Astyanax mexicanus: one gene and its partner. The protein of the gene in region 1 binds, or shares a complex with, the protein of each later gene. Links are inferred from orthologs where the notes say so. Each region holds a gene or a part of one and is shown in the gene's direction. Other genes may lie near its edges. The genes, in order: espl1 and pttg1.

Evidence for each region.
Region 2: the proteins of espl1 (region 1) and pttg1 are in contact, whole or in part, in a cryo-EM structure (PDB 7NJ1), measured with the Homo sapiens proteins. The link is inferred for Astyanax mexicanus from reciprocal best matches to the Homo sapiens genes ESPL1 and PTTG1. Residues at the interface, in NP_036423.4 of Homo sapiens: His402, Thr405, Val406, Tyr409, Ser461, Asn462, Tyr465, Tyr468, Arg505, Arg508, Glu512, Glu544, Thr547, Phe548, Arg551, Gln590, Lys593, Ala594, Val595, Arg596, Thr599, Gly600, Arg603, Gln634, Cys637, Tyr638, Trp683, Ile686, Glu690, Ile697; in NP_001269311.1 of Homo sapiens: Tyr111, Pro112, Glu113, Ile114, Glu115, Lys116, Phe117, Phe118, Pro119, Phe120, Asn121, Pro122, Leu123, Phe125, Glu126, Ser127, Phe128, Asp129, Leu130, Pro131, Glu132, Glu133, His134, Gln135, Ile136, Ala137, His138, Leu139, Pro140, Leu141.

The regions. Positions count from the first base shown.
Region 1 is NC_064412.1:17,117,380-17,125,268, forward strand, and holds the start of espl1 (separin), read left to right. Parts: upstream 1-4,797; 5' UTR 4,798-4,952; intron 4,953-7,021; 5' UTR 7,022-7,040; coding exon 7,041-7,121; intron 7,122-7,230; coding exon 7,231-7,536; intron 7,537-7,889. Other genes in the region: itgb7 (integrin beta-7), read left to right, coding at 58-271, 404-594, 1,604-1,764, 1,884-1,952. UniProt on the Homo sapiens protein: Caspase-like protease, which plays a central role in the chromosome segregation by cleaving the SCC1/RAD21 subunit of the cohesin complex at the onset of anaphase. During most of the cell cycle, it is inactivated by different mechanisms.
Region 2 is NC_064417.1:50,022,299-50,029,405, forward strand, and holds the start of pttg1 (securin), read left to right. Parts: upstream 1-3,904; 5' UTR 3,905-4,060; intron 4,061-6,133; 5' UTR 6,134-6,142; coding exon 6,143-6,230; intron 6,231-7,019; coding exon 7,020-7,107. Other genes in the region: gamma-aminobutyric acid receptor subunit pi, read left to right, coding at 526-719, 1,596-1,925. UniProt on the Homo sapiens protein: Regulatory protein, which plays a central role in chromosome stability, in the p53/TP53 pathway, and DNA repair. Probably acts by blocking the action of key proteins.

The DNA.
Region 1 (7,889 bases):
TGTACATGAGAATGTAAGAATTGAATTGCAACAATTTCTCCTATGTGTTTGTTACAGAGAAAGGTAAATGTATCTGTGGTACCTGTGATTGCACTGAGTCAGGTTACGAGGGCCGTGCATGTGGCTGCTCAACAGACAAAAAAATGTGTCAGAATGAGCACGGACTATTGTGTAGCGGCCATGGGAAGTGTAGGTGTAACCAGTGTGAGTGTAATCCTGGTTTTGTGGGACAGCATTGCTCCGATCTTGTCTCTCCATGCCAAACATATGTGTAAGTATCTGTTTGTCAAATTAATTTTAATGTTCTTTACTGTTCTTTCATTTGCTGAGTATTCAGCACTGAAATATGTTTTATTTAGATACTGATTTAGCTCTGTTGTGTGTATATCTGTGATATTTATAGAAAATGTGTGGATTGTACAGTCCAGAGTGAGCTTTATAGTCGCTCGTCTAACTGCTCTGTGGCTTGTGAGGCAGTTCAGATGGTCCACCTGAAGGACAATCATGAGCTGCCATGTGTGCATAAGGATGTCATTTATGACGTGACGCTGAACAATGACGGCACAGTGAAGATCCAGTACGCTAATCTGCCAGGTAAGTTCTTACACTCACCTGCCTACACTCGTCTTAGCTGCAATAGTTCACTTTGACTGCAGGTTTTCATTACAACTCTTAATGGTTAAGGAAGGCAGCATAAGCCATTCCATTTAAGAGGTCACAATGCAGGCAGACAGGCATAGCATAGGCCAACCCATAACCTTCTGAAACAGGTACATGAAACAGGTCAAAACAATGGATTCAATAAATACTGTAGCCTTTATTCTTCCAGCACTACTACCATTCTGTAATAGGGTGGGAATTTAAAATGGTTAACTATTATTTGTTTGTTTACTTTCAAATAAACAAATAATAAAGTTATATGTATATAAATATATACTATTTTGCCAAAAGTATTCACTCACCCATTCAAATCATGAACGTTTGGGTCACTCTCGGGAGCTCAGTGAATTCCAGCGTGGTACTGTGATAGGACGCCATCTGTGCAACAAGCCCATTTGTGGAATTTTCTCACTACTAAATATACCACAGTCAACTGTCAGTATTATTATTACACAGTGGACATGCAACTCGCTCCGTCAACATAAAATACCAGAGTGGACACACAGTCCACAGCACAGTCCACAGAGAATCCAACTGTAGTTGATCACTACAGACCTCCAAACTTCATGTATTTTCAGATTAGCTCAAGGCAAACTGAAGGCAGATGAGCAGATACTTTTGGCAATATAGTGTATATGAGTGGGATGTTAGTGTATGTGGTGTGCGGTTCAACTCCTTGTTCCTATTGTGCGTGGATCAGTTCATCCATAGAGAACAAAGGAACTCTTAATTGTGTGTTTTGAGTTGATTGGTTTAAATAAGTGTTTGTAATCATCACTGTCTTGAATGAGCAGCATTTTGAGCATAAGTTCCCTTTAAAAGTATTTTAATGTTTTTTTTAACACTCACAACAAAAAAACAATACCACTTATAAAATAATGTTTATACAAGTAAAACAATTATGCATGTTCAGATAATCAGTTTTTGTCCCTCTGGTTCATAGGCACGGTTGATAAAACCAAGATAATCATTGGCACGTCAGTATCAGCCATTGTTTTTATTGGCATTGCAATTATCATCATCTACAAAGTCCTGCTGGAGCTTTATGATCTGAGGGAATACCGCAGCTTCATCAAGGCTCAGCAGCAAACTGATTGGAAAGAGGTTCTCTTTATTTGCTTACTCATTTACTTGTTTCCATAAATTATAATCTTCTTTCAGAAATATTAGGTGCTCTGCTAGATTGTCTCAATATTTATCCTTTCACCTTCACTGTCTTTCAGACTAATAATCCACTGTTCCAAGGAGCCACAACAACAGTGCTCAACCCTCTGCATTCACAGGACAGCTAAAGCATCACGACTGTAAGGAAGGAACTGGAGAGTGTGTCAATGTGATTAATATGTCTGTGTATTCTATTCTGATTGTATCATTTTTGCAGTGTTTTGTAATACACCAATACTTTATACAGGCTTTACAGAGTAACATATAGGCTGCATATTTCCATAACCAGTAACATAAATTATTATACATACAGATGTATTTGTCATTCTGATTGAAAGCGCATTTAAGATGTACATGCAAGTTTAATGTTAATCAGTTTTTTTATTTTTACATGTTTTTTGCAGCATGCAAAATGATAAGCAGCTTTAAGTGTGAGCTCTAAAATCATTTCATATTCTATATATTATTTTTATTATTATCGAGGCACTGAATGATGTTACCTGTAATGTGAGAGTAAGTCACAGAGGTACAAGTCTCGAGTTTGGATGTTGTGCTTGTTGTGTCACTGATTTTTCCTCAATCTATATTTTTTAATAGCCCCTTTCATAATTAGTCATAATTATATTGCACTCTGCTGGTCTGCCGTGTCCTGGTAGGTTGCCAGGTTCACACATTGGAACAGAAATCAACCAATAATGCTTCAAAAACAAAATGAAGTTCTTAATGTTTAAATCAGGCTTTTATCAGTTTTACTCAAACAAATCACAAGTTCAGATTGCTTGTGCCTAATCATGTGACTGGGTTTCCCCACCTCTTGTGACTGAAACGTATATCGCAGCTATCCAATGAAAAACAAGTATCTTTATTTTTGTTGATTTTTTTAGTTTTCTACATCATTTGAACAAACACACTATTCTTTACACTTGATGGATTAATAGAAATGATCCAAACTTAAATTTAAATAATCCCCTTTAACACTGACTTATATTAAAGGTTAAGTGACTGTGTTTCTAAGTTGCTGTGTATATGTCATTTATATATACCTATTTTGCTGATTTTTAATGGACTATTTAAAGTTTATTTTTTTGCACATTGGAGATCACAATGAAGTGCATGTAAATTTTGTTTATTAAAATATATAGAACCCCAAAGGAATATTCCCTGTTTATAGAATGTATTTGACAATTATCATAGATAGTTATAATATATACATTATATTAGTTTAATTAAATACAGCTTTATGTATTATTAATATGTTTTATATTCTCTCTAAAGAATTTTATTTGCATGAGCTTAAAGATTAACATTGGCTAACATTGATTTTTACTGATGAAGACGGAGTTAATTTTTTCGTACTTAATATTAAAAAATGTTTTACTAAAAATTGAATTTAAAAAAAATTATAAAAGAAATTGTGATTATTGTTGCCCACCCCTAATACACAGAGCTTACTGTTGTAATACAAATTAATGTAGAATAGACAGCTCAGTAAGGTTTATAATTGTTGAGTTTAAAAGCTTTAAATATGTTTGCAGTAGTAAAACATTTAATATTGTTCTGTTTTGAGAAAATGAGTACAATGTTCAGTATGAAAATTATTAAACATTTATAAACTCTAAATTTGGTCAGTAGCCCCATATGAACCCACTTATTTTGGGGCCCATCAGGGCGCGCCCTCTGGTGGTCAAACAAACCCAGGAGATGGGCCGTTCTGGGCTGGATATGCTCCTCTCTGTAAGTGATTCTCTGTTTGAGACGCTAGCGTTACTGCTATTGTGAGCTTACTGGTTTGATTGAAAGGTTTTTAACATGAGTTTTAAAGCTTTAAAAAATATGTCTGCAGTACTGAAACGTTTTATATTGTTTTGTATTAAGAAACAAGTATATTGTTCAGTATGAACATTATTTATTATAATGATTATTATTATTTAGCTATAAACTATGATTTTGCTCTGTTGCTCCATATGAACCCATTCATTTTGGACTCTCGGGAGCACGGCCAGTGTTTTGTTGATTTATGCTACCCGTTGATATGTGCTACTTAGCATCCCTGCGCATGCGCTAAACCACGGTTTTTAAATGCTTACAAGTGTTTTTTAACTAATTGTGTTTTCCTTGGGCGGATTATATAATCTAGGTTTACTGGTTGGCTTTTATTATTTTCTTCAATGTAACAAGAGTAAAAAGAATAAAAATATATCACACTTAAGCCCTATCCAGATGGGATTCTTCTGTGAAAAATGTTTCACACTTCTACTCGGTGATAAAACTTGGCATCCAGAGTGCAATTGAAAAAAAAACAGGAGGACCAGTGAGTTTTTTGGCTTTCTCGGTCACGTGACATCGTGTTCAGTAGCTCCTCCATTTCCACTTGCTGTTGTGTTTACGTGGATCTCCGTGGAAACACACACCCAAAGTGGAATTACAGTGCGTAGAAGTGGACAAATAGCTAGTCTATTAAATGTGAGGTAAAACTCAGGGATGTCAGTCCAGACAGGTCAAAAATTACCTTACGATCACAGAGTTCAGAGAAAAACAGTAGGTAATTCAACCTGGAATTTTCTCAGAGGATGTCTGAGAAAAACACATACATTGTCATTTTGGACGGGAATAAAAGCACAGGAGACCTCATGAAAGAGAAAATTAGTACCCCAGAACCCTTTGAGAAACCAAGATTTACTGCTTTAGGCCAGTCATATATGCTGCCTGTACTTCAGCTTGTAGCATTCTCTGATTGAGAATGCCTTATTGAGATATCCTGCCTGCTGTTTTATTTACGTTATTTTTTTCTATAAGTTAATATACACTGCGGCAGCGCGATTTGAACGGGTAGCACAAATCGACAGAACACCGGTCAGAGAAACCAACATAGGTTCTTAACTGGGTATTCTCCTTTACAGTTTCTCTGGTGAAACCCAAAGCTTTCTGTACTACAATACCCATAATGCAAGTCCTACATTTCCCGACAAGCTGTGCGCTATTTTGAATAAGTGCGCGTCGCCCTGTTTGTTCGGTTCACGGCTCTATCTAGTGCTATGTGTGAATTACAGCAGTGTCGCTGAAACGTTTGTTAATAGAAACATTATAAAAACAGTTTCGTATAAATAAGGTCATTTCTCAGGAGTACGGTAAGTGATAATGTTATCCATACCGCTGTTCTGCTCGTCCTGGTTTCAGCTAACTAAGCTAAGTTAACCGTTAGCAAACGCTAGCTAAGATGGAGTTACCTTAGTTAGCGTTAGCTAGGTTAGCTTGGCTAGTTAACTAGCTACCTGGCTAGGTTAGCTGTCGCTAACAGTTTAGGGACTTCATGAATTAAAGTGGACACATTTCAAAGCGTTTGTGACGCATAGCTAGCTAGCTTTAAATCACCATGGGCTCCATATAACCCTAGCTAAGATAAAGCTTTAGTACTTGAACCCTAAGCCCAAACACAAGTGTCACTTACCGGCTGGTTTAGTTATGTCTTTTTATTTTGAATTCTATTGTTTTGCTGTAAATCAGCTGGATAGCAAGCTAACGTTAGATATGTAAACTAACTAGCCTAGCTTGCTTTAATTGTAAACAACCAGGTAACGTTAGCTATATTTTTTATTGTCTGGCTATATGGGAAGTAAGTTACTAAACACTTAGTGTAAACACTAAGCTGCCATTCTGTCAGTACAGCGCGGTTGTATTAAACTGAAACAAGAAAACTCTAGATCAATTAGTTATCGGTCTATAGAAATGTTCTTATTTACATGCTAATGCTACACTAGCAAACTAAGTTAAATTTACTTTAGCTGCCTATCATAGGTTTCTCACCTTCTGTCAGGAAGTCCAGCTGTACTTTGTCGCAAGCCTGTTCATGTTTTTTTATGGCCCTAAAAAATATCACGATATATAATGGAATTTTTGCGATAACGATACACTTCGCGATGACAAAACACTGAATTAAACATATTTCGAGAATACACTGCTGCAGCAAATCAAATAACTAAAAATGTTATTATTGCATACGATATGATATGGTACACCCCTACCTGGGAGATGAAGAATACAAGAATTTTATATGATTTGTAACAGGAGTCAATGATCCAGAATGTCATGATACTAATATTGCACTCCACCTATCTCTATATATTCAGTACTGAAGTAAAGTAAAGTAAATTATACCGGGCAGCTATAATCTGTCTCTAGTAGGTATATATGTTTGCTAAGACAGCAAAAAAAGTAGTACCCTAATGGGGTGGATGATATGGCAAGATATTTCATGGTATAATATTGTTTGCGATATTCAAAAATGTAGGCAATATTATTGCGTACAATACTGTATGGTTCACCTCTACTTACTACTACCTACTGATAAATTATATATTATATTTCAGTTTTAAAATCTTTTTCCATGCCATTGTCTTATTTGTTTACATTTTGTTAACAGTTCTCAGATACTTAACACATTACTACATCCGTATGTTGCGTGTTTTATTTAGCTTTTACAGCTCTTACAAGATCTTATAGGCACAATTTATCAATGTGTTGATTTCTAGTTGGGCAAGTCTTTGAAAAGCATTTGGCTTCCCATACAGCTAGGGATGCACCTGTGTGGGAATTCTGGGCCAGTGCTTGTATTCGATATTACCCATGTAGGCTATATATGTGCTGATGCTGAAATACACATGTAAGACTGACAGACGCACACTACAAAATTTCATTTCCTTACATTATAGCTTTCAACCAACTGTAATAAAATAATAAAATAAGTGATGTCTACTAAAGTTTGTTTTCATTTTGTTACAAATTGCTTAATGTTGGCTAATTAAAGTAGTGCGGCCTGCATCATTTGGTCCTTTTCCAGAATACAATAAATGCATCAGCAAATGTTGGTTTAAAATATTGACTAAAACTGATGCATCTGTATTTACAGCCACAATTAGCATTTTATGGCCTTTTGTTCACAATGATTTAGGTTACTTTTAAACCATGTTGTCTGCAAAAGTAGACAAATTTGTTGGTAGAAAAACTTGCTTAAGGAATATTATGGCTAATTTCTTGGTGTGCTTCTGTTAGTTTGTTAAAGGGAATGAAATGTTCCCCGTCGCATTTTGCATTAAAATTTAAGTTTTATAATCTTTCTTCATCTTCTGATCTGTATTTATGTATATGATCTTGCATAGACTAGAATTATATGGCTTAACAAAATCACTGTCTGTTGCAGCAAGAGCCGAAAAGGAAGAATGAAATGTCTAAAAACAGATGAGTACGTACAACGGATATCCTCTATAAAGGACACTGTTCTTCTTCATGATGAGTTGAAGGTAAGTTAAAAACAAATTAATTAATTTGGATTAGTAGTGTAAAGTATGTAATCTATTCTGAACATTTTAAGTATAGGCCTCAAATTGTCTCTGCTGTATTTTGTTATAGAAACACGTGAATGAAGATCTTGGACCTTGGGGGCGAACAGTTTGTGACCGGATTATTCGAGCATGCAACCAGAGGCTTGGCAGTGGACCTCTACAGCCAGATCATCAAGGGCGTCTGGTGGATCTTGTAGAGTTGGCAGTAAAAGGTTATGGCTTGAATGCTGACCCTGCTGTATCGGGATGCCCACTTTACCTTGAGAAAATAATCTTCCACATCTTGCAGAAGTTGGTTAGTCAAGGAGCTCATGGCCCAGCCAGTCGACTTGGGGAGCTCATGTACCACAGACTGCAGACATACTCCACAGAGGTATGCAGATAGATTTCGTTTAAAAGATCCTTGATTTCAAAGGGGTGATAAAGCAACTTTGCTATGAGACTAAAGTATGAGTATTTAGTCTGGGATTAAGGTAGCCAGCAGTCAGTAGCAAGTGAAAGACTGTCTGTCTCCAGGTAGCATGATTCTATTTGCCATTTTTTATTACAGTTATACAGTGTCAGAAATCACATAGGTGGTCGTGTCACATCTTATTTATTATTAGACCAATATTTTCTCACATCAGTTTTTCCATGTTACATCACTCCATTGGCTGTTTTGTTAACCTTGTAGGTTCAGAGCAAAAATCAGAAAGCAAACTTCAGAAATAAATGTCTTTTTAAATG
Region 2 (7,107 bases), on another chromosome or scaffold:
TAACATGTAGAATTAGCTAATAATTAATGCTTAATAATCTGATTAACAGGGTGCTGACATAACTGTTTATTGTGCACTATAAGAAATAATACAGCTATTATTAATAATTTCCACATAATAGACCCCTAATTCAGCACCAATAACACTTATGACACAGAATAAAGCCTCATAATTAGTGAATAAATAATTTACAAATGTCTAATTAAAGCAAATAACAAGACATTAATAAGCGCCTAATTTGTGTTCCTTAAAATAAAGTGTTACCAGAAATACATATGAAATTATTTTATAAATGAAAAATTGTAAAAAATGTTTACATTTTAACTTAAATTAGACCCTTTATTTCAGTCAGTTTTATGAGGATGATCACCTAGAATTTCAGGCTTTCAGTTAACAGCTGTGCCGAACTCATCAATAGTTAATTACTTCAATTTCTTGCCTCTTAAAGTGTTTGAGAGCATCAGTTGTAAAGTTGTGAAGAGGTAGAGTTGGTGATCTATTATCTATTATATGTATTTTTCACAGGAGTGACCACAGTTCTGACGATGACGACTCTGATGATGGGTGCCAGGACATCACTGCCCAACGCCAACTGCTTCATCAAGGCCATAGATGTCTATCTTGGTATTTGCTTCACCTTCATCTTCGGAGCTCTGCTGGAGTACGCCTGTGCACATTTCTGCACCATGCAGCACCAAACTATTCTAGATGTACAGAGGGTAAGTGTTCTGTGTATATTTTACATATATAAATATTTATTACACACAGAGTGATCTATTTTAAGTCTTTATTTATTTTATTGTTGATTATTATGGCTTACAGCCAATGAAAACCTAAAAATCAGTGTCTCAGAAAATTTTAACATTATATACCACCAATTGGGAAAACACTGCACTGACTTTGGACTTGATAATAAAACACAGTGGATCAACACCAGCAGATGACAGACATGTCTCTCCAAACCATCACTGATCATCAGTAAATTTTACATTTCATTTGTAAATCAAGAGATCAGAGTCTGGAGGAAGAGTGGAGAGACACACCGTCCAAGCTGCTCGAGGTCTAGTGTGAAGTTTCCACCAATCAGTGATGGTTTGGAGAGACATGTCTGTCATCTGCTGGTGTTGATCCACTGTGTTTTATTATCAAGTCTAAAGTCAGTGCAGTTTTGTTTTCCCACAAAATCTTACAGCACTTCATGCTTCCCTCTGCTACTGACAACTTTTATAGAGATGCGGATTTCATTTTCCAGCAGGAATTGGCACACTGCCCACACTGCTAAAAAGTATAAATTGGTCTTATATAATAATCATTTTTATTTTATTTTTGGCTGTAAGGCACAATCATCAACAATGAAATAAATACATGCCTAAAATAGATACATTTGTGGGTAATAGTATTATCTATATAATATATGAGTTTCACATTTTAAACTGAATTATTGAAATAAAATAACTTTTCAAGTATTTTCTATTTTTTCTTAAAGACATAAACCATTAAAAATGACAATTACATTTGTTTTATTATGACAATTCAATGCTTTAAAGTATAACTTACTACAATTTTGTTTACTTATATTATTCACTTTGTCTCAGGAGCTTCTGAAGGAGTTTGAGGAGTCGAATGGAAACGGCACCATCCAATTAGTGACGTCCACCACACCCAACAAAGCCCTGAGCAAAGAAACACAGCCAGAGATGAGCGAGCAGTCTGTGCAGTCTGTGCAGTCTGAGGGAGACGAGCAAACAGAGAATAAGCAGGGGAACGGCTGTGGTCTGTCCTCGGTGAAGCAGGCGTCGCGCAGGGCGGCGTCCATGATGAGCGTGGAGAACCCCCACAACATCGACCGCCACTCCCGCACCCTGTTCCCTGTGGCGTTTCTCCTGGTCAACATCTTATACTGGCTGTATTACCTTTTCATCTAATCAAACAGACGCACTGGACTCATCTACGCACAATGGCCTAGTGAACCCGGCGACTCCGAGGACTAAACTCACGACTGAAAACACTCTTTAAGTCTTTAAGTGCCCTGTAATGCTGAACTGGACCAGCAGTCCATTCAAACAACAGACGACGACAACGTAGACAACAGATCACACAAATCAAACACAAGCACAAAGGAAAAAATTCAGTGACTATTCAGTATTTTTGTTGTTGTTGGCTTCCATATAATATATATATATAATGGCCTTCATGTTTCTACATCGTTAAAAATGTATACAGTTATTTATTTATTTATTTATTTATTGCAAGATTGAGCATAGGGAATCTGATTGTTATTGGCTGATAAATTCCATGTGTATGCTGTTTGTGCACTTCTGTATAGGCTGCAATATGATTCATTTATTAATACTTATTAAACTATCAATCGACTTACTGTTTGTTTGCTTGAATTTTTGGGGTTTTATTGACTTTCACCCAGAGACGGTTTATAGAGAAACTGCCCATTTCCCATCTCCATTATTATCACAGAAAATCATACCAATGAGTTAAATGTTGTTGAATGGAGCTTAAATGCTAAGCACTTATTTAAAAATAGTAACTAACTACTTATCTAATGTATTTCATTAATTTTGGGAAGTAAATTTATGTATTTCTCTAAATAATCAAAGAAAACATACCTGTATTTTTCCATTTTTTGTACAGTAGCATTACTGCAACTGTGAGCTGATTGGTGCTGTAATGTTGCTTATATGCTGAATATTGGCGGTTATGGCAGTTTTGTTTGCATTTTGCCGTTTCTGACTCTTATTTCAGGTGTTTAAAGGGTTACTTAACCTTCTGATTTTTGCTGACTTCACCCTCAGCTTAAATTTAAAAAAGGCAAAAAATGGGAGGGGAAGTTTGGGAGGGGCACTGAGTGATGTATGGGTTTAGAGGTGGGGCAGGAGGGAGAGCTGATTGGCTGAGCTGCAGCAGCAGGAAACCTCTGGATGTCAGCAGGGGGGTCATATTATTGATAGACTGATCTGCATATTGTGATGTGTCTGCGGAAATTACCACAGTAAAAGCATTTTTTAAAGGAGGATGAAAACTGACATGAGTATAAATAAACAAATGCACATATAAATGAAGGAGTGATTAAATAAATAAATAAATGTATAGATAAATACATGAATTAATAAATACATTTTATGTATTTATAGATTTATTAATTTACGTATTTCTACATTTATTTATTTATTTTTTTCTGCTTTTATTTATATATTAATTAATTTATTTCAATTTGCGTTTCATTTGCATTAGAGCAGTAAGAAACCAGTTGCTTTCGTCTGATTCAGCAGTTGACCAATCCTGCTTTAGAGCTACCTAATTAACATACAAATGCAGAAATACTGAAATAAATGAAAAGTGGAAATAAATAAATAAATAAATAAATAAATAATAAATAATATATGAAGAAATGTGGAAATACATGAATAAATAAATGTTCAAATGTTGAAACAAATAAATAAATGTAGAATAAATTAATATTGACGCATTAAAATATGGAAATAATTATTTAATTATAAAATGATATATTATAAAATTAATTATAATTTTAAGTGTGTCGTTTTTCAACATGTATTTATTAATTTATTTATCTCTACAACTATTTATGCGTGTGTTCATGTTTTTATATATTTATTCATGTTATATATATATGTGCATTTATTTATTTATACGTATGTCATTTTTTTGTCGTCCGTATTTTTTAAAGGTTAGTAAATGTTTATAAAAAAAAATAATCAGGACAGGTATGCTTTTTTACTTTAAAAGAACACATTTCTGCTATTAATATAATAAATAGAATTTATGGTATATAATGGCTGTATAAACTCGCAGTGGTGTGATCTGGCCCCAGGGCGGCAGCACCGCAGAATAAACAGAGCTGAACACAGCGCGGCGGAAGAGCGGCGGAGCAGCAGCCAATCAGGAGGCGAGTTGGGGTTTAAAACCGGGAAAGTTGAAACCAAAACAAGTCCGTTTATTTACTGAGAGAAACCTGACTAATCTACAGAGAGAAAACTGCGATTTATTGCGAAATTTCTGCGCTTTATCGGGGATTATCCGCTGTTTGGTAAGTTTACAGACATAGTTTATCATCGTGTTGATGTGTGTAGCTGTGTGTTATGCTGTTATTGAGTGTTTTTGAGGTGTATTCTGGGTGAGTTTAGTGGGAAACAGTTAACGTAGTATCTCTATAAACTTAATTACTTATTAACTTATTATTTAATTACTTTAGATGACTTTACCTCATTTTTCCAGCAATATTCTCTCTGTTTTTAAATTGAGACAGTCTGTAAACAAACTAGCTTAAGTTATATGTAAAAAATAGTTTCCTTGCCTATTAATACAGACAATAAAATCATGTTAGCTAACGTTACTACTTTTAAGTTTACATACAGATGTAACTTAAAGCCTAAAATCATTATTCTTAGAGAAAGTCATATATTAAGATAACGTTTAATATGTTACATAGCTAAATTTGACTTTATTATTCCCACATCAGGGATTTTTTTTTTTCCAGCAGAACGAAAAAATGTATAAAAATAGGAGACCAACATAAAAATAATAAGTTCTTAGATTTTTACCAAATTGAAAACCTCTGGAATATAAGCAAGAGGAAGATGGATGATCACAAGCCATAAAACCTGAAAAACTGAACTGCTTGAATAGATTTTTGCACCAGGAGTAAAGCAGCATAAAGTTATCCAAAAGCAGTGTGTAAGACTGGTGGAGGAGAACATGCAAATGAATGAAAACTGTGGTTAAAAACCAGGGTTATTTTACCAAATAATAATTTTTGAACTCCTAACTTTATGAATATGAACGTATTTTTCTTTTTGCATTATTTGAGGTCTGAACGCTCTGCATCTTTTTATTTTGTTATTTCAGCTATTTCAATTTTTTTTTTTTTTGCAAATAAATGCTCTAATTGACAACATTTTTATTTGGTATTTGGGAGAAATGTTGTCCGTAGTTTATAGAATAAAACAACAATGTTCATTTTACTCGAACTTATAGCCTAGTTAAGATGTAGCTAACCTACTACACATGGGGCAAGTACGGTGGCCGAGAAAGCCCAGCGCAGTGCAAATTGAAAAGCGCTGCAAAAGCACAAAACACATCCATCAAAATTACAACACAGGCGCAGCAAATAGAAAAACGCGCTGCAAATAGAACCACAACACAACGGAAGTGAGTCACAACACAACGGAATTTTCCCGGGGGACCTTAAAAGATGCTGTACCAGCTGTATACAAAGGACAATAAGTGGCAAACAAGCTTCTGAAAAGTAAGTTATGTTTATTACCTGTGATTACCACGGTTGTGTGCATATTATTAAAAGTTCTGCTTCACAAAACGCCTTGTTTGCCACTTATTGTCCTTTGTACACATAGTGAAGTCCGAGACGTTACTGAAGACGCAGCTTAGCTGGTATATCTTTTAAGGTCCCCCGGGAAAATTCCGTTGTGTTGTGACTCACTTCCGTTGTGTTGTGGTTCTATTTGCAGCGCGTTTTTCTAGTTGCAGCGCCTGTGTTGTAATTTTGATGGATGTGTTTTGTGCTTTTGCAGCGCTTTTCAATTTGCACTGCGTTGGGCTTTCTCGGCCACCGTAGAGGCAAGACCATAACATAAAGAGCCACAGCCAGCTTTAACTGTATGGGAAAACTCTTTAATGGAAGAAGTGTCCTTTATGTCCATTATTTTAATCCAACGTGTGCCTTATACTATGAAATGTGGGACAAGGCAGTATAACATTTAAATGTAGGTTAACATTGTCTTATTTCATATAGTCTTTTAGTACTAGTAGCGAAGTTGCTTTATTTATACATACATACATACATACATACATACACACATACATACAGTGTATGTGTGTATGTATGTATATATATGTATATATGTGTGCTGTTTTCCTGTACTTTGCGATTACTTTGAAACTAATAAACATAACAAAATAATAACTACAAGAATAAAAAGAACCGGTGTCTTGTCAATGTGTGCTACATTGTCAAACCGTGCTACTGCAGTGTTTATTTAAAGGTAAAAATATTGGCTGGCTAGATTATTCAGAAATTATTGTAGTTAATTTTTGTGATTTGTTCACTTGTTCTAAGTATTTCTTTTAAATATTCTTCTTTTAGTGAAACACCATGGATACCATGATTTACCTCGACCAAGAAAACGGCAGGCTCACCGCTCCCAACCTCAAATCTCGACAGAGGCTTCAGTCTGCACCTGGTGAGCTTAGATACACCTGGGAATGAAGTGCTCATAAAGTGAAATTTTGCTCACTATAGTAACAACACCAAGGACCAGTGCCTGGTTGCATGAAAGGCTTTAATGCTCTTAATGATCATCCCTTGTTGATAAGTGTGTTGCCTAAGAAGTTATCTGAGGGCTTTCTTAAGGGAACCTTTTAATCCATTAAATGTTTCCTTGAGTATCAAATTTACAGTGTGTGAAAATGGGACCCAAAACCTCACTTTAACTCCCGAAAAACTGAGTTACTGAGATGTATTTATTTATTTATTTGTTTATTTGTTTGTTTTAATTGATAGATTAAGCTGTATAGATATCTGTATAGATACCATTATTAATCTATTAGGTAGAATGCCACAAGTTCAATTCAGAGAGTTAAAGGTCATATAATATAATATAATATAATATAATATAATATAATATAATATAATATATAATTTGTAAGATTGGTCTGAAAAGTTGCTAAATCTACTGATCAAATTGCTAAATAAACAACACTGGCTGTCTAACAGCACTAGACTTATGATTTATGCAACCTTGTACAGATGCCTGGATGCTAAAGTCATATGTCTAACTTATTTAAAATAATTGGATGTATTGTATTTACCAAATTGCAGTATTTAAATAATAGATAATAAAGGATAATATACGGTCACTCCTATAATTCATGTATTGTAGCCCTTAGTGTGTCACACATGCACATTTAATGAATTTAATTGATCTGATTCCTTTTCTGATCCTGATCAGTTTCCTTTTTAATTTTTACAGAACAGGTTCTGAAAACTCCTCTACACCTGAAGAGCCGTCTTGGTGGATCTGTACAGTCGGCCCGTAAAGCTTTGGGAACAGTTAACAA